3 linked regions of the Arabidopsis thaliana genome follow. The protein of the gene in region 3 interacts with the protein of the main gene of each other region in a pairwise test. Each region holds a gene or a part of one and is shown on either strand. Other genes may lie near its edges.

Region 1 (6,073 bases), on a different chromosome or scaffold from region 3:
TTCCACACATTGCTTTTCAATACCTTGTGATGTTTTTGATCTTTAGAGGAGCTGAAAAAGGAAGCATTTTGTTCTCTTTGTCACAGTCCCAGCTGAAGAATTTGACAGATGATAAGCATGGGATTGGTTCTTCATGGAGGCAAGATAAAGGAAACTCATCGATCTCCATGCAAATTGATCTGGAGAAACAGTTAGATTGTTGGAGGGAAAACCCTTCGTGGACTGATCAGATCCCAGTCGTTAAGGTGAGCAAGAGATGAACTTTACAACATGGTTTTGTCAGAGTCTTTGAGAATCTTGTTATATGATAAATAATAACAAGATTTCTTTACAGGTGGGTATTCCAAAAGGATCGCTTTGCAATCTTAAAGCCGAGGTGAATGTTGGTTTACCTCCTGATGCAGTCTATAACATTGTAATTGACCCTGACAATAGAAGAGTCTTCAAGAATATCAAGGTACGTTTCTTATAGATTATCTTGTTCTCTCTGTTACAGTTTTAAGCTCCTGTGATTCATTGGCCTCGGAATTACAGGAGGTTATGTCGCGGAAAGTATTGGTAGATGACGGGTTAAGGCAAGTGGTGGAAGTTGAACAAGCAGCTTTGTGGAGATTTCTCTGGTGGTCAGGAACAATCTCAGTTCATGTCTTGGTGGATCAGGATCGGGCAGATCACTCTGTAAGACCTCTACGATTATAACAAAAGTCTCAAGTTTCTTGAATGGTTCGTGAAAGGGGATTTAAATGGGTGTTGCAGATGAAATTCAAGCAAGTGAAAAGTGGATTCATGAAGAGATTCGAAGGAAGCTGGCAAGTAAAGCCTTTGTTTGTGGATGAACATATGTGCGATCGTTTGAAACCGAAAACGCTGGAGGAGTATAACAGGTGCACTGGAGGTAAAGGGAGGATCGGATCTAAGGTAACGCTGGACCAGCTAATACAGCCAGCGATTGTTCCACCTCCGCCCATTTCTTGGTATCTCAGAGGAATCACGGCTAAGACGACAGAGATGCTTATCCATGACTTGTTGGCTGAGACCGCCAGGATCCGTGCAGCTGGAGTAATGGAGGATGGTCACTCGCCCGATGAGCAACGGATTGGCACACCTGGAGATATAAAAGAAAGATGGTCTGCACATAGAAGAACATCAAGGAGACGACGCAATGATTTGTGTTAAGTCACAGACTCACACAGTCCATGATTCTGGGATAATAGATATCTTGAGGATTTTTGGATCACCCAGCAATATGTGAACATAATATAATATTTGTTTTCATAAGATACACTGGCATATAAATGTGGGAATCTATTCCTTGTTGAAGAAGTTTACAACCATGACTCAATGACTCATGACCATTACAACCATGACTCAATGACCAATAGTGATATGAATTTTCAAATATACAAAATTTCTAATTCATTTATTTTGGTAAAGAAAGAAAGATATTTCTGTGATGAAAACGATGCAGACGTGAAAATAGGATACGCAAAAACAAGAAAGCAAAACAATCAATCATATTAATCCAGGCACAATACACGAAAGCTATTTAAAAGGGTTCTTCTAGTAAATTTTTAGGTACAAGACCATCTACTTGCACAATAAGAAACATTCACATACCCAAAAAAGCAAAAAGGTTCAGATAATATTTATAATCTCTCTTGCATCAAGACAGAGAGAGATCCCAACACAGCAGACAGAATCATCTCGATGCAACGCAATTTCTCCCTCATCATGCCTGTGCAAGAAGAGCAACACGAGGTAAAGATATAAGCATCGCAGAATAAAAAGAAACCAGCTCGTTAGATTTGTGTGTTTTTGAAGAAACTTATGTAGTTATGTTACCTTGCCAGCGATGTTGTTGGAGAGCCAGTCCAGACCTTCATAAAGCCCTTCACCTGAAGTGGCACATGTGCTCTGGATATACCTGTAGCGAGCAAAAACACACATCAGTATCGAACAGAAATTGTTTGACTTTTGAAACTTATAAGGATGTTTATTTACCAATGACGCTGACGGAGGGAGTGAAGGCCAAGCTTATCTGTGATTTCAGCAGCGTTCATAGCATTTGGAAGATCTTGCTTGTTGGCAAACACAAGCAACACAGCATCACGCAGCTCGTCCTGCAATAAAAGAGTTGGTAAGTAAAGGATTTTCAAACTAACAAAACTATGAAGAAGAACTCTTTCTCTATAGCACTGGATATTTACCTCATTCAGCATCCTGTGGAGTTCATCTCGAGCCTCAACAACTCTGTCTCTGTCATTGCTATCAACAACAAAGATTAGACCTTGAGTGTTCTGGAAGTAGTGTCTCCACAAGGGACGGATCTGAAAAAGAAGCCAAAAAGTCAGTTTATTTGGGTGAAAAGTTCCTTCATCAAACAATAAGCAGTACAGAGACTCCATACCTTGTCCTGACCCCCGACATCCCACACGGTGAAACTAATGTTCTTGTATTCCACAGTTTCCACATTGAAACCTGTTGATAGAATTTAGCATATCACTAATCGATCCTAGATTTTATACCATCATCACAATTTAAAAACCAGTACTAAGGTGTGAAGCTTCTTTACCAATAGTAGGGATGGTGGTGACAATCTCTCCGAGCTTGAGCTTGTACAAGATTGTGGTCTTACCAGCAGCATCAAGACCAACCATCAGAATTCGCATCTCCTTCTTGGCAAAAAGCCTGCTAAACAGCTTGGCGAAACTCAACCCCATTTTGCTTCACTGCAAACAAACACAACAAAGTCTAATATCAAAAACCTCATACACATTCTATATCACGCGATTTTCATCTCAGAAATCCTAAATTATGCATCTATAATGCCAAATTCAATTCTTATATCCTCTAAGAACCTGATCAATACCAAAATCGTCACTCACAAACATCAAATTTCAACGAGATCAGGCCGATCCAAACAGAGAATCAAACGTCCCGAGATATCATAATCTCTCTGATACAGATCTTCAACATCTCAGAAGCTATCAGATACAATCACAACGACGGAAAACGAAAGTGAATAGAAAATTCAACAGATCCACACTATCAGATCGTAATCAGAAACGTCGACATATATACACATCTTAAAAATAAAATCGCATTATCCATTCATGAGCAAGATCAACCTCAACGAAATCAATCACGACGATTCCAAAACCATCAAAATTCACAAGAAACGAGAAATGCAGAACACATACAGATCTACGCTAAATTGAGAATGTATGAGCACAGATCTTAGATCAAAGCGTACCTACGAAGAATGTTTCGGAGAGATCTGAGAGAGAGAGACCGCGAAGAAACGGAGAGAGCGAGAGAGACTCGAAGAAATTTGAAAGAGAAATGTGAGAGAAGCTTAAGAGAAACGCGATGACGCCGAAATGGGAAGTGGTGGAGAGCAATTTTATAAGGGAGAGGGGTACCGGTTTATTCGTCGTTTCTCACGCCAATTAACGAAATTGCCATTTGTAATTGACGGAATTACCCTCTTCGAATCTTCTATGACCAAGTGTGCAGGTGTTCGCGAGCTAACCAATTAAAACTTAACACGTGAGCAATACTCTTTTCTTAAGTGCTACTTCATCTCCAGTGAAAATTTCGTTATTTGTTGATGTTGTCTGACCAATAAGAAATCGTCATTTCAATCAATTTTGATAAATTTTATAATTATTAAAATAATTTTAATATATATAATATGATTACATATCTACATCTATTAATGATATTTTTAATGAAATTTTGTTTGTCTGGTTTGGTTAACTTTGGGAAACGTTAGCCACAAAATCATTTAAAAGATTTATTTTCAAAATGATAAAATTAATCAATTGAGAGACAATTCCGGTTTAGTATTAGCTTAAAAATTTAAACATTTGGGTCTGGTTTTGCTGCCAACCCTTAACGATCATAACAAAACATAGAGAGATGAGCAAATGCTACAAACTACCAAATAAGCATTCATTTTTTATACAAAAATATTAATCTTTACCTTAATTATAATCAATTTATAAACACTACAATGCTTTTCAATCTCATTGTATATGCTTCATTAACAAGCTATATATATAAGGTCAGTTGCTAAAGATGAATTACAACTAAATATAACGTGCACATTCCTCACTACAACGACCGTCAAAATATGTGATCACCTTAAAGCTCATCATGAGCATTTTCAGTTTCTTTTTCGACCATAATAGTTTCTGCCAAATACTGATCAGTTTGGTTTAAGCTCTTGTCGTCATGCGAATACAGACAATCCGCAGAAGGATGAACTACACCATAACCAAACCCTTCAGCAGAGTTACAATATGCTTCTACTTTTCCATCATTGCCTTCCAAGTTGATATTGTTGAGGACAATGTGGCTGCAAGGGACTGCGTCACTACACTTGAAGTTGATGGCTTTTGAGCTTTTCGTGGTTCCGGTTATGTTCCTGTACATTATCTCGGATATGTGAACCGCCGATGTCTGCAAAGAAATAGGAATCAAAAGATTAAGTTTCTTTCTTGAGGTTTGTTGATAAGTCAATGGTTATGTGAAAGAATTAAAACCTGGTTTTGACAAGTTGATGGTGAATCACAGTAGAATTGATCGATTATAATCGGATTCGCAACGTCCTGCATCACTACGTTCTCGAAACGTACACCCTTTACGTAACCATTACCACCCTGTTTTAAAGAGTTTCATCTTTCAATCAATCCTGAAAACTCTTTGGAAGGAAAGCAAAGATCAATAGAATTGAGATTTTACCTGCCATGTCTTGATTCTTAGACCATTAGTTGTGTTCTTTAAGAACGCAGTTTCCAACACAACTGCAGTGACGGTTCCTTTCGAATGTCCTTGTCCAAGACTTCCAATACTACAGAACAAGAAATTATTTGCAATCAATAATAATATATGTGTCTCATTTCTTTTTATGGTTAGAGATGGTTTACCTGATTCCATGTCCTGGTCCACAGTAGATCCTCTTCATCTTTATCTTGGCGCTTCCATTCACAATCGAGACACAATCATCTCCTGTTTTCAAGTTGAAGTGTCAGCTATAACATTTTGAGTTTAATATTATAATTACCATGATAGTGTTTTGAGTTAAATAGAAGTTTTTGGTGAAGAACCTGTGCTGATTTTACTGTCTTGGACTACAACATCGGTAGATGCGGTTATATGAATTCCATCAGTGTTGGGACTGTCTCCTGGAGATGTGACCATAACTCTAGAGATTCGAACTGTAGTTGACCGTTGTATGATCAAGTGCATCTGTTGGCTGTTCCGGATAGTTAAGCCTCTCACATACACATTTGAACTTGAATATATAGTTAGAGCCTGTATAAAAGTAAAGACTTTCTTATAAGCAAAATCAAACATAAATGATAAGTCTAATGGTCGATGAACACAAAAGGGAAAAAACTTAGACCGTTGGTGCGCCTACGCAAGGCTACAAAAGAAAAACAAGAAAGATATGTGTCAGATTTCTACTTCATGATTGATTAGAAGAAAGTCCACTTTATGTAAAGAAGATACTTACGTTAGACTTGTTCTTCTTGCAAGAAGCAGCCCACCATTTGGTACCAGAACCATCTATAACTCCATTCCCTTGGAATACAACTCCTTGGAGTTTGGAAAATTGAAGCCAATTCCTTGGGAATTTCGGGTCCCATTGGCTAGGCTCATCTGGTGCTATGATTGTTCCATCAATCTATCAAAATCAAAATTAAAAAAAAATAAAAATGCATAAGACAATAAATGGTAACATGTTGTTGTAGCTTAACGTGTAACAGGAATTAAGAAGTTAAAAGATTACCTGAATGATCAATTTTTCTTGACATGGACCATCGAATTTCGTCGCATTTACTAAATAGCTACGTCCTTGTGGAACCAATAAAACAGAGTTTGGTGCAGAGCAGGCCATGGTCCAAGCTCTTATAAATGCCTGGTTATAAGAGAAACTTTTCACTAGTTGATAATTAAAATATATATATATGGTGGTTTTGTGTGTCTATTCCACCAGCATTATCATGAATTTCTTAAACCGATTCGAGCATAACGCACCTGAGTATCATCAGAAACTCCATCTCCA
Region 2 (6,825 bases), on a different chromosome or scaffold from region 3:
TTTAAAAAAAATCTTGCATGCTAGGATAAGAGATTGTTGAAATAGACTAGTTTTGTTTGAAACCATAGAAAATAGTTAATAAGTGCATGAATAATATTAAAGTTTATGTACAATCTATGGTGTATATTTATATCAACATTTTGTTGTTCTAGGATATAAAAATCTAATTACATTTATGTATGATAACTTCTTGTTTAATTATAAGAAAATGATTTACTTTCTTTCTATAGTATTTTTATAAAATTAAAATCTAGAGTACATTATGAAAGAGTAAATACATAATACTAAGAATTCTGTCAAATACAAATGACCAAAATAATTAAGTACTTCTATAGCATGATTGAGTTATCATAAATCTGTTCTGGTCAGAAGCTGAACTAAAAAATAAAACGGTAGAAAAATGTCTAGAGTTAGTAGCTAAAGTCTACCAAAGACCAAAGAAGATCGTTTTCATTAAAGTTATAAATTATGTCCTATGTTAGAGGCTTAGAGGTAAACGATGTTGTTGTTTTAATCTGAAATATAGATGCTAATCAGCATTCCACATGGTTAACAACATTACATAGAAGAGTTCGTCCATCTTCTCACTTGAAATTATGGAGAATACAATAAGTCAATAACTATATACACACGGACGAAAATTAACTATAATGGATTTCAATTAATTTTCAGATTTGCTATTGGTGTACTTTAATGCCGATAGTTTCTACTTATATTCATCTAAGTTTTCAGCAAATCATACGTATGTCATATGTCTTTGGTTTCACTAGCCGTTTAATAAGTCATGTCATGTCTTTATTGATTGGCTTGCTTTCAAATTTTCAAGACTGACAAATGAGGTTTCTTTTACAGTCCAAAAAACAAACAAAGAGGTTATAAGCTTTATAAAGTTGGTCTATATCACATGATGATTGATACGCTCTTCTTATGTGGTAATGCGAAGATGGTCAAATATGTGTAATTGTTCTACGTTTTTTTTATCCATACGAAATAGTTGTTTAAAGATATTTAAATGGTTTGTTATCAGTATTTTCTTAAACAATGTAAATTTGTGTCCGTATCATAGTGGGGACTGGGGACAACAACATTTTACATACTAATCATTGTCATATGATTGTACAATTTGTCGATAGAGAGATATAGGAAAATTTAAGAGTACATTAGAATTGGAACCTTTTGTGTGTATAAAGCATTGGTCATAAGTAAAAGGATATGAATAATTGCTATAAGCCATACAATTAAAGAATTAAGAAAAAAAACATGGTTTGTCGGATTAACATAAAAGATTTTGTCCTTGAGGATTATTCCAAGGAGAAGGCCCAAGGAAGAATCAACAATAGTATAACTAAAACTAATTCTAATAGCAATGATAACAAAAGGGAAAAGGCTGCTTAATGTCTAGTGGTTTTAGTTATTTTAATGATTGATTAGATCAAATTTAAACTATGATTGGATTCTTACTGAAATTTTCCTGTTGACTCTAATGATTCTTTGACTTCAAGTTGAGCATTTCTACCATAGTCCAAATTTAGTGGCCTACTATTTATCATAAAACAACACAATCATTCAAACAGCATCCAAGGTCTTTTAGTTGAGGTTTCTTCAATTACAAGTCTAGAACGCGACACAAACTACTACCATAATTATAACAAGACCATACCCACTATAAGTGACTACATAAACATATACATAACATTCAACGGACCGGACTATATACATGTTACCCTCTGTTTAGTAGAACTCGCGATCTGGAAGGATGAGTGGTGCAATGAGTGTCCATATGTAGAGTCCGGCCGTGACCCAACCCGTGCATATCTTGACCCAGACCGAGGTCCATCCCACATCGATCAGAGTCGCACTCTCTGATGAGTCAGTCCATCCCGAGAGAAGCATTGCAGCGTACATGCTCGCAAGCGCAAAGATGATATGGAAGAAGGAGTATGAGTAACTCACAGGCCGTGCCTCGGCTTCACCACTCTTCTTCCCGTCCTCAGGGTCCCCTAACAATGCATCCTTCACACCTGAAAAAAAACGTTTCCAGTAAAAAAGAAGAAACAGAAATCCGAGTCTGGTTCAGAATTATTATTCACAAAACCGAAAAAACCAATGCCCAGGCGTGTTGAAGAGGTTGGCTCAGGTACCTGATCTGGGTGAAGACGGTGGCGAGAGGAATGTGGTGGAAGAGCCAGCTCGGAGGGCGGAGTATAGAACCGAGAGAACCGTAGTGAGCATTCCAAGGATGAGAGTACTTGCGTTCACTGCCTTGGATTTGTTAAGGCCATTGCACACATAGTCATGTGGTTCGCTAGAGAGGCCCGTGTAACAGACATAAGCACAGTAAACCGATATAACTGATGCCGGTAAAAGACTGCCATTCACCGCAGGATGTAAAGCAATAATCGCAAAAACAAAAGCCAAGATCATCGGCATGACAATGAAGAAAACATTAAGTCCACAATCCTGACCAGATGGGTTGAACCAGATGAACAGGATTCCTGAGAAGGTATATGTAGCAATGTAACACACGATTGATATGACAAGCAGAGCGATGTACCTGCACAAAGAATCCCATTAGTCAGAAAATTATAATTTATCAAACTTCAACAAAAAAAAAAGGCCCAAAACAGAATATTGGAACAAACACAGGACAAATGTATAGAAGAGATGCTGATGATACCATTTCTTTTCGTCCTTTTCGACCCATGAATCATTCCAGTTATGTGTAGCATCTAATAATAAGACCACTTGAACCAACAGAAACGCTCCAGCACCAAATTTTGACAACGTTCCTAGAACAATGTGCAAGCACTAAGATTAGCCCGCATATATGGTTTAATATTAAAATCCACAACTTTAAAGTCTCAGTCTTTTAGCAGATATTCAAATTTCCTTGTCATACTTGCAGCTACACCAAAGTATAATATATAATCACACAAATTGCCAACCAGCCCGATTTAAGATCATCAACTAATACTTGATAAAATAACAGCAATGGAATTTTGCAAACCAGTGAATTTCCAATAACATAAACATAACGTGATATGGTAGCACTTTATGTTGGAAACTATGAGGAGCAAAAAAAACTTACCATATAACGAGACGATAACATTTGGAACAAAAAACATGAGGACAACAAGCAAAAACCAGACAATCATCTTCAAACCCCACCCACCATGGTGCCACGAGTCACGCCTGTCATTCTGGTCCTTGACACCAATCATGATCAAAGCATATATTGCAAAGAAGAGGAAATTCCCAAAGCTCACACGAAGAACAGCTTGTTGCTGATACCATTCTTTGGTATATGAATCAGAAGTATTGATCCCTGTTTGTCAAACAACATCCAAAACCGGAGATTTGTATCAATAGGCGATGAAGTTTCCTTTTGCAACACTCAAAATTCTCTCTTAGATCAAGCAGGTTAACACAAAGCATAAACAAACGCAATTGAAAGTTGAAAAACATCCAAATCAACACAGATTGAGATTTCTAAAGTTCTAGTACACAATTATCAATCTGTTGCAGCTACAAAGCAACCAAATTTCCACTGAACCAATACAAATTAAGATTCATACTTAAACGCTTAGTAAGATTCAAGCACAAGACATCACCCAAATCTATCGTTAACCACCGGATTCAATTCCAATTGACAAGATCAAAGAAAACCCAATTTCGAAATTTGATGGTCTCTTTCAATTCCAATCATCAATCTCGGCTAAAAGGAACCTCCTTTTTCACAAACCCAGTTCAGAAAAGGATGAGAGAATCGTACAAGGGAGTTTCTCGAGGAGCGGAGCACCAGTCTCACGAAGAATCCAGGAGACGACAAGAGAGGCACCGAAGAGACCACAATAAGCGATCCTCGCTGATTTCCTCGATATCCCCGATGCTACCGACGAGCATAATCCACAAGTCGCCGACGCACAGCACGAAGCTAAGCAACACGCCATTGTTTCAGAGATTTTTTTTTGTTTTGACTTTCACAATAATCTGTTCTTCTGTTGTGAAGAAGAGATATCACATTTTCGAGAAATTACGAAATCTGTACCTAACATATTAAAACGATCATTCTAACCCATTTTACATGATTGTAACTTGTAAGAGAAACAGAGTGATTAACGGGTAAGCTTAAGCCTGCTCCTCATTGTGTTTACTTCAAAGTCTACAAGAGAACTCAAAAGTCTTAAACATGTTTTGAAATTAGACATTCTAATAGTTTACTACAAAAGACTAGACTCGAAAGAGAAGAAACACAATTGCAGAACTGCATCAGAGAATCAAGTGCTTGCTGCTGCATCGCGGAAGATGTGAATCTTGATTGCATAAACCACTTTGTCCTCGTTGCGGAGAATTTCACATAGGATGGAGTCATTCTCTGTGAACTGGTTTCTCTCGCATATTTTCTGCCATTTGTTTATGCAAACCCGTTGATCTGCCCACTTGGTCGTTTTCGCGGTTAGTTTTCCATATCCGTCAATATAGTCAACATTGTCGCTGAATATCAAGCCGTAGTCTTTCACCAACTGTGCATGAACTAACTGTGCATAATGTATATAGAGCTTTAGTTAGAAAAATAATCATCAACTCGTGAAAGGATTTTTAATGAGACGAGATAATAATATCTAATGAAGTCTTACCAGCTCAAACTTTCTAAGCTTAAGACACGTCTCAAAACAGACATTGTTTGGATCATCCAAATACAGATGTGGATTCTCAATGGTCTTCCTCTTGTCTGCAAAATTCCCATTTGAGATCAAATTCTAAACAGCTTCGGTTATAAGCATCAGTTAAAAGAACAATGTTTACTTACAACTTCTCTGCCTGCTTGTTGTTGGATTCACCACCTCAACGGATTCAACAGATATAGAGGCTGAGGGTAGGTTCTCGGGAGAATACTCACTGTCGCTCTCTATCTCAGCATCACCATGAAGAGAATCGTTGCTAAGGCTTCGAAGAGAAACGTTGCTAGTGCTATGATGAGAATCGTTGCTAAGGCTATCAAGTGAAACATTGCTAGGGCTATGAAGAGAAACGTTGTCATCTTCTGTATCATCAGAGATCTCTTCAACTTGAATGACTGCTCGAGTCTCTTTGCAATCTCCACGACCATAGATACTTACTTCATAACTTTTGTGCCCATCAAACACAAAAGTTAAGAATTCTCCCTCTTTTAACTGGTTATCAGCAACGAAATTTCCCCAGCCTTGTTCAAAATACACTTGCTCTTGCTTGCTCGTCATTGCTACTTTCCAAAATCTTCCACCAGTTCCGATGAGAATCGCAGTCTTGGGCAACGGACGTGGTAAAAGATTGTAGTAAGACCTTGGTATCACCTGCTCAACACAAAGATGTAGCATAAACTAAACTGTTAAAAGTGAGCAAAATATAAGCTAAAGACTCTGTCTGCAAGCGGAGGTAAACAGACAAACAACAAGACCAAGACCTCTTGTTCAATTTTTTCAACAAAGGAGAAAACTCTTTGAGGAAATTCAGTGTTTAGTTTGACATACTCTATCATATTCAAACATAAGTAACACAAACAGAGATAATCCTGAGCTCATTAGTGAAGAAAGTTAAAACTTTTGTCAGTGTCAAGAGATTTAAACATATAGAGTTAAGAATTAAGATAATGTTGCAGATCTCATTCACATCGTTACTGTATCCAAGAAACATATCAACCCAAGCAGCTTTTTCCATGAAATATTCCAGAGAAAAATCTCACCATGGATTCGGAGCTGCAATGGGAGAGGAAGACAGTGAAGAATCTAGGAAGAACATCACCGGAAGCCATGGAAGACGTATGAACTGTGAGAGGAAGAGACAAAGAGAGCAGACGAGTTAGGGAGAAAGAAGAAAGCTACAGAAATTGGGAACAAAGAGAAGAGAGACCATTACCAAGAGGCAAGCTGATCTGGTCCAAACGGTTCTCTTTAATCTTTAGGAAGAAAATTTCCAGAGATTGAATTCTGAAAAAAGAGAAAAGTGAGAGAATACAAAGGAAGCAGAACACAGTTAATGTGTGTTTCTTACGTACGAACCTGTTTTTCTCTGTCCTTGCTCTATGCACAACCAATGAGAGAAAGCAGCATTGCTTTTTCACTTTATATTATGTTATCTTTTAATAAACTCTTTGACCAAATATCTGCAACAGATCAGGTGAGAAGAATCAGTGACAAAGATGCAGAGTTCATAATTGAGAAAGCGTTTTTCTCCTCACTGAAACAAAATCATAAAAAGCTAGATGCTAACAATACTATCAAGCCCATTAAATAGTTAATGTAGGCCCATATTCGGCCCAATAATTAAGATAGTAGGGAGTCTCATTATTGGCTGAAGAATGTAGAATGTACTCATGTAGCTCTTTTCTCTTGGGCCGAAGACTTTTGGTAGCTTTGGAGTTAAAAGTCACATGATTAAACACAGCCTCAACGGCCAACAACAACATATTCAAGATTAGAGCCATTAACGTATAAGCTCGTTTAGTGAGGAGATTCTGTAATAATTTACTCTTTTTCTTACTTTAATATTCTCTTGCGCTTTAAATTTTATCAGTTTGGTTTCTTAGAGAATTTTAAAACTGCGAAAAAGTATCATTTTTATGTATAAGCTAAATTCTATCTTGAGCAACAACAAAAAAAAAAGGAATTCTTGAATCAAAGTAAGAAGATTAATAAAATAGATGAACTATTTTTGTGAATAATGTGAATGGACACTTTGATTAAGCTAAAGTGGTATTGAAAATAGACAACTACTAATCTAAGAAGAAGAAAATTCTTATATTGTCTTATCAAAAATTGTTAGTTGTACTAAATCTCCAACGGTTTT
Region 3 (7,303 bases):
CACTTCAGGGACCAAGGGTACGTTGATCATTCTAGTAAAATATCACGCAACTCAATTTGCCAAAAAAGACTATTATCGTGCTCTTGACAGTCGCCCCAGACTTCTATGTTCAATATTCCTATGATAGCCTCTATACACAGAGAGAAATTTACTTACCATTTTTCATTAACTTCTTCTTTTGCCTGATTCAGCTTGACCCATTCTTGAACTTGGTTGACGATCACAAGTTGAAGGCTGTAAATTCAGATCAGCTAAAAGTTGCTTATGGATGCGAAAAAGATGATGCTTCAGCTTTAGATACTCTTTCAAACATAGCACTGTCCACTGAGCATAGCAGAGGAACCCTTGTCTATGAAATCGTCAAGAGCTTAGAAGATATGTGCAATGTAAGTGTTCCCAGTCACAACCTCCCAACTAAATTACTCTACCCGAGCTTACCATTCATATTTTGATAAATCAATTGATAGACACAGTAGACTAACAAAAGTTAAACTGTTTCCAGTCTGAAATGGACAAAATGCGAGAGCAGTTGCTCACAGAATTTATGCCAGATGATGCATGTCCACTTGGTACCCGGTTTTTAGAAGATACCCACAAAACCTATCAGATTGATTCTGGTGATGTTAAACCTCGAAAGGAGGTAACTTCCTTCTTTTGCTTCCCATAATATTCTCTGAAAACCTCGAGCTGAACATAAGATTGAAATATGTTGCATCTGTGTCTTCAGGACGCGGAGGATCAAGAGTTTGGAGATGGCACCGAAACCGTTACAAAGAACAATCATGTAACATTTTCTGAAATCCCAGACCTCCTGACCGTCAATCAAATTCTAGAATCTGTAAGTTACATTTTTCAGCTTCCTAGAAACTAGATTACAAAGTCTTCATCAAAAGTAACAGCACACTATAAACTATACTTATTTTGTATTGTTTGAAGGTCGTAGAGACAACACGTCAAGTGGGTAGAATTTCCTTCCATACTGCAGCCGATGCTTCATACAAAGAGATGACGCTGCATTGTGAGAATCTGTTAATGGGAAAACAGCAGAAGATCTCGAGTCTTTTAAATTCTCAGCTACGACATGAGAGTTCTGTTAACTGCTCTCCACGACAACATGATGAAGAGATCAAGATTGCATCTTTTCATCCTATGATCAATTCAGCATTTCATACTGGGGTATGTATGCCTTCGCTATGAATTCCTGTGGATAGCCTCCGGTTTCATATTCCAAGATAACTGTTTAACCATTTTTGTATTGATTACTGAAATTTGTTTAGGTCGAAGTCCCTTTACTGTCGAAAGAATTCGACATGAAATCGCCAAGAACACCAGTGGGAACTATTCAGTCACCGTGCTATGCAGAACTACAAAATAACCCACAAGCATTTAGACTACCAGCCTCAAGCCCTTACGACAACTTCCTTAAAGCTGCTGGCTGTTGATCATCGGCAGGATCCAAACCATGTTTGGCTTTGAATTCCAGTCAAGAACTCAAACAAAACATAACAAAAATAGGTTTGCTTGGTTTTCAAAGTCTTGGGTTACGTTTTTATAGATTCTTTAGCATCATAAATCGGAATTATCTCCGTCGTGCTATAATTAGATCATTCCTCCTAGGTTTTTACTCCTATCTTCTCTTTTCACTTATTCTTTTGTCCAATTCTTGTTTCTTTTTGGTGTGATGTGTAAAAAATTGAAAGAGGCCATCTGGTTTTCACATGGTATTGTAATCTTAAGATTCTACAACAGATGCTTTGTTGAACAGTTTCCCTCAAGATGTACATTGGTTCTTCTATGATCTAATTTATAATTTGTGTCATTGGATAAGTAAATCAACCATAAGCGGATCAATTTTATCATAAAAACCTATATAATACACAGAGGAGAAGCTCGCATATATAGGAATGCGTTTTCTTTTGTATATGAATGTCACAAGAGGAAACTATATATTCATTTGCTCATTTGATTTGCTTAACCTCTTGAAGCATTTCAACTACTTTCTTCATCTTTGGCCTTTTTGCAGGTGTGATGTCTGTGCAAAGCAATGCAACTTTCAGAGCTGCAAGCATCTCTCTCCTCCAAGCAAAAGACACGGTGCTAAGCTTGGCATCGAGTATCTGTTCCGGTGTTTCTCCTCTCGCTGAAGCTCCATGGACCCATTTCACCAAATCTACTCCTTCACCAAACTCTTCCTCCACCGGCGCTCTTGAGGTTAGAATCTCAAGCAACACAACTCCATAACTGTAAACATTCCCCGGAGCTGTAACTTGCATTGTGTATGCATACTCTGCAGAAATAAACCAAGGGAAAGTGTTGGATTTTGTATAAAGTTACTGGTAACAAAATTAAGACTTTATACCTGGTGGAATGTAGCCAAAAGAGCCTGCAACTGAGCTAATACTCGCGGTGCCTCTAGAGGGATCTAGAAGTTTCGATATTTCGATTTCCCCAAGCACGGCTTTGTAACCAGAGTCTAGCAAGACGTTGCTAGAGGAAACGTCGAGGTGAATGATGGCGACTTGGTGGAGAAATGCTAAACCTTCTGCTGCTCCAACAGCTATGGACAGTCTCATTGGCCAGTCAGGTTGGTACTCTGGTTTCTTGGTGGACTCATGAATCAGCTGAGTTAAGTTACCATTAGGTAAATGCTGATGCAACAAGAGAGCAACGTCTTCGTATATAACAAACCCTATCGGTCTAACCAAATGGTCATGGCAAAGTTTGCTGAGTCTTTCGAGTTCTCTGATCATCTTGTTCTGATGATGAGATATGGCTCTATCCATAGACTTGAGTTTCTTCACCGAAACAATCATCCCCGAAGGCATAACGGCTTTATAAACTGAACTGAAAGTTCCCGTACTGAGTTTATTTGACTCCTTCATAGTTGCTTTCACAACTGCATCAAGATCAATTCCTTGTTTAAGATTTTCAAGGAAGACATTTCCCGCGATAATTGCTGGTTGCTCATCCTCAACATTTTCTTCAACATCAACATTTTTAGCCGCTGCTTTCTCTTGTTTCTCCCTCATCATGAAGAGAAGAACAACCACAGTGACTGATACAAAGACAGCTACACCAGAACCAATCACTGCGAGCACAATTCTGTAGGAGACTCTGTGATTATATCTCAAATGGTCAAGATCTTCAGAATATCCACAAGAAGAGCTCAATGGTGCTCCACAAAGCTCTTTGTTTCCCAAAAAGCTCGAATTTGGAGACTTTTGAAAGGGAACAAAGACTGGCACTGGACCATTCAAAAGGTTGTTTGAGAAATTAACCTCGATCAAACTCATCATACCTTTTAGTAGTGGCGGTATGGATCCTGTGAGCAAATTGTTAGAGACATCCAATGACACGAGCTTGTCGAGTTTTCCTAACTCGGGAGGCAATGATCCATGAAGATGGTTGAAACTTAAGTTGAGTGCTATCTGCAAATTCCTCATGCGACCAATCTCAGGAGGAATGGTTCCCGTCAAGTAATTTCGACCCAGTTGGAGCTGAAGTAGCTTCACACAGTTTCCAATCTCATGAGGTATGTCTCCTCTTATGGAATTTTGATCAAGAAGTAAATACTGTAGCCTTGGCATGCTGCAGAGTTCCTTTGGGATGGTTCCGTTGAGTCTGTTGTTACTCAAATCAAGCTTGTTTAGGTTTCCACTTCCAAGAAACGACTTAGGGATCTCCCCAAAGAGACTATTACCTGAGAGAATCAGTTCTTGAAGATTAATGAGCTGACCAAGCTCTGTTGGAATGGTTCCAGCGAACCCATTAGCTGCCAGATTCAGCAGAGTGAGATTAGAACACTTGGAGAACTCTGCAACAATCTCACCTGAAAGATTGTTCTTGTCTGCTTCAAAGTAAGTAAGTCCACTAATGTTCCCGATTGTCCTCGGAATGACTCCCACAAGCTCGTTATTCCCAATTCTAATGCTCGAGAGGCCGCTGCAGATTCCTACTGCTTCAGGGAGTTCACCGGTCAATCTATTCTGTGTCAAGACCAAAACTTTAAGCTTCCCTTTCTCAAAAATCCCTTTTGGAATCTTCCCCTCAAGTTGGTTTGAGTGAAGATTCAACAATTCCAACTCAGAAACCAAACCTAACCCATTCGGTATCTCACCCACCAAATCATTCTCATAAGCTGTAAACACCCTGAGACTGCTCAGATTCCCTACCCAGTGAGGTATAGAACCATTTAACCCATTTCCAGAGACCTGAAACTCCTCTAACCTCTCTAGAACCTTAAGCTCATCAGGTATCTCTCCAACAAGCAAGTTATTAGAAATGTTGAATGCTCTAAGCCCTCTAAGCTTACCAAACTCAACCGGAATCGCTCCAACAAAACGATTCAGAGACAAATCAAGAAACTCAAGCTCAGACAAGTTGCCAAAAGAAGTAGGAATTCGTCCATTGAAGTTGTTACCAGAAAGATCTAGATGCTTTAAGCTTCTGAGGTCAGAGATTAGAGTAACATTACCTCTAAGCTGAAGCCCTGAGAGATCAAGCATTTCAACAAAAGAGTTGTTGACACCACACTTAAGCCCAACCCAAGTACAATAGTCAGTGCCATTACTACTCCATCCTGGAACTCCAAGCTCTCTATTAATCGCAACCAATGTGGCTTCATCGCTTAGTTGAGCTTCACAAAGCTCAGATTTTGATAAGAACCCAACAATCAGAAGAATTGACATACACCAAAATGTCATTTTTAAGAATTGAATCAATCACACACTCTTGTTCTTCTTCTTCTTTCCCCCAAATACAAAATTATCATTGAATTTTTAAGCCAAATGAAACAAGAAAGTGAGAGAGGAAAAGAAAAGTAATGCTCTTTTTGCCATGAATCCAGGATTAAAGCTCTGGTTTTTCAAGTCAAAATAACTGTTTCTGAAGAAAAAGAAGAAGAAAGACGAGTGCTTTAGAGTGTGAGTGTGGCTTAGAGAGAGAGCAAAGCCCATAAATTTAGGGAGAAAAAAACATGAGAGAACAAAGAGAAGAGAGCAAGGAAAATTCGATCAAAGAGTAGTAGGGTCTCTGCTTATAAGAGAGAAGAGGAAATTGCATTTTTTTTAGTATATCACGAAATTATGATTGCAGAACCAAACAAAGATCCTCTCACTTCACACACAGACAGAGAGAGAGAAGAGAGAGACTCCACAAAGCAAACGCACTTGGAAAGGAGGGAATTTTTTTTTTCTTTTCTTTTAATGTAATTAATTTCTGATACAAAAAAGTTTAATTTTCTTCACGAGACAGTGCAAGTGATGAATGAATGAAAGCTGCATAAATCTTTCTGACACATTTTTTCTGCTTTTGTTTTTTGGAAGAAAAAAAAAAGATTTTAATGAAAATGAAGAGTGTACGTTTTTTGATAATTCTTTTCCTCTGACGTTTTTTCTGTACCATACTGATTGATACTGTCACAATGTTCAATACCAAAGAGGTAAAAGATTGTTTCCAAATCTATCTTTTTTATTTTTTTACCTTCTTTTAAAATCAAAATTTACACACACTTTGCAGTTATCATTTGTGGTATAATGACATTTTTCTTATTCGTAGGGACTAGGTTATATTTGTAGCCTACATGTTTTCTCTTTGATCTATATTTGACAATAGGGAATCTACTCTCGTGTGGTGATTTTTGATGATTACTTTAAACACGATCCATGTTTGATGTATACCAAATTTTGACGACATTTATGTCAAGAATATAAGATTATAGAATCACACGAGGTGGAAGATTATTACTATTATTATTCGTCTGCGACGATAGTCAGGAAACACTGTGTGTTAATATCAATAGATATGATTGATTTCCGAGTTTCAAAATACACGTAAATTTTTGTTGTAAGATGCTCAATATAACAATACGTAAACAACGATTTGTCAAATCTTGAATGTTGGTAGAAGACATGTTTTCTCAGATGTCTGCCTCAAACAGCGAGATTAGTATCTTTTGATTTTGTGATAATTGTTATAAATAAAACATACCAACAATTTATTAAATAGCTATGTCTTAAGCTGCTTCCGATACTCCTACGCGACCCAAAACATTGAAAAGATGTCGGATAGATCATATATGAGTTGAGCTAAACTGTGTTCATATTCTCATTGGTGTGTACTTTAAGCTAGATGATGGTCGTAAACTCACATACAAATAATTGTTGTTTATATTACACCATTTTCCTCTTTCCTCTAACTATTACCTGATACAGATGACATAATTAAGTATAGTACTAAAAGGTAAAATACTGAAAACGAGTTTGATTTAATTTGCACAATTGTAAACTAGAAAGAAAGATTCAAAGTATGCAACAGTCAAGCAAATTCATACAATTATACTCAAATATCCGATAGTCATTAACATTCCAGAAAAAAATAAAAAATTAAGAACATGAGTTTGGGTTTCGAGAAATACTAGATATACTAGTTAGCTCTTAATTTATGTTTCTAAGAAATTGTTGGTAAATGTTTTAAAAAAAATATATCATAATGAAACAAAATCATAAACAAAGCTCCGTTTTATCAACATATTCCTTTATGCTGCAAAGAGTTTGTATATTTATGTTTATTTTTGAAAATATAGATTGAGAATAATAGAATGAGGAAGAGTGGGGTTCACTCACGGGATGGGGTAAAAGAAAAAGGAATGTGGCTCTTTACGGTTAGGCAAATTGTAGGACCCTTCTTTGTCTGCTCCGACCACCACCACTCACCACCTCCGTCCCATCGTTTTTTTCCTCTTCTTGAAACCTAATTGCCTAATTAAGTATATATAAATAACACCACCAATTAAGCAAGTTTTATTCTATTAATACTATAAAAAACTTTATTACATAGTTACATTTCTTTTCACGTGAGTTTTCACAACTCATGATACTATCAACAAGACGTTGAACTTCTTCTTGTTTTGGTAGTACAACTGAAGTTTTAGCTACAACAAAAAATAAATCCATGAATTGACGAAAGTACGACTGAATTTTTCTATGAATTGATTTTTAATTATGCATATACATTTTTTCAGTTGATTAGTTTTATGCTTTTCAAGCAATCTATTTTTTTCACAAATAGGCGAATGAGTTAAAGACGAATCATAAGAAGAGCAACAAGAAAAAGAGAAGACATAATGATGGAAGCACCTCGTCGCTTTAAACTCGTGAAGAAGGGGAGATAAGAAGTGTAGTTAATTGTTTTAAATTTTCAATAATTAACATTGTTAGAGAAAATGTTAACCAATGATTACAATGAAAACTTAGTCATTAGCTTATGGATGCTTTACCTATCAAACTGACTTTCTGCGTAATCA

What was found.
Region 1: the proteins of AT2G41820 (region 3) and ARFA1D interact in a protein complementation assay, tested with the Arabidopsis thaliana proteins (one large-scale study listed by BioGRID).
Region 2: the proteins of AT2G41820 (region 3) and AT3G06170 interact in a protein complementation assay, tested with the Arabidopsis thaliana proteins (one large-scale study listed by BioGRID).

The regions. Positions count from the first base shown.
Region 1 is NC_003070.9:26,562,433-26,568,505, forward strand, and holds ARFA1D (Ras-related small GTP-binding family protein), read right to left. Parts: upstream 3,380-6,073; 5' UTR 3,254-3,379; exon of another isoform or gene 2,730-3,253; 5' UTR 2,721-2,729; coding exon 2,573-2,720; intron 2,479-2,572; coding exon 2,408-2,478; intron 2,328-2,407; coding exon 2,208-2,327; intron 2,121-2,207; coding exon 2,002-2,120; intron 1,925-2,001; coding exon 1,843-1,924; intron 1,736-1,842; coding exon 1,730-1,735; 3' UTR 1,286-1,729; downstream 1-1,285. Other genes in the region: AT1G70480 (OBP32pep, putative (DUF220)), read left to right, coding at 87-245, 335-457, 535-678, 757-1,176; AT1G70500 (Pectin lyase-like superfamily protein), read right to left, coding at 4,147-4,464, 4,548-4,664, 4,747-4,855, 4,932-5,013, 5,112-5,319, 5,411-5,431, 5,522-5,692, 5,798-5,926 and 1 more. UniProt on the Arabidopsis thaliana protein: GTP-binding protein involved in protein trafficking; may modulate vesicle budding and uncoating within the Golgi apparatus.
Region 2 is NC_003074.8:1,864,645-1,871,469, reverse strand, and holds AT3G06170 (Serinc-domain containing serine and sphingolipid biosynthesis protein), read right to left. Parts: upstream 4,056-6,825; 5' UTR 3,951-4,055; coding exon 3,773-3,950; intron 3,326-3,772; coding exon 3,089-3,325; intron 2,790-3,088; coding exon 2,678-2,789; intron 2,555-2,677; coding exon 2,142-2,554; intron 2,022-2,141; coding exon 1,732-2,021; 3' UTR 1,507-1,731; downstream 1-1,506. Other genes in the region: AT3G06160 (AP2/B3-like transcriptional factor family protein), read right to left, coding at 4,278-4,538, 4,638-4,732, 4,811-5,333, 5,723-5,805, 5,896-5,966, 6,039-6,099.
Region 3 is NC_003071.7:17,444,570-17,451,872, reverse strand, and holds AT2G41820 (Leucine-rich repeat protein kinase family protein), read right to left. Parts: upstream 5,130-7,303; 5' UTR 4,704-5,129; coding exon 2,360-4,703; intron 2,288-2,359; coding exon 1,959-2,287; 3' UTR 1,765-1,958; downstream 1-1,764. Other genes in the region: AT2G41830 (Uncharacterized protein), read left to right, coding at 1-17, 192-386, 503-640, 728-838, 937-1,176, 1,278-1,442. UniProt on the Arabidopsis thaliana protein: Leucine-rich repeat receptor-like protein kinase that may play a role in vascular tissues development.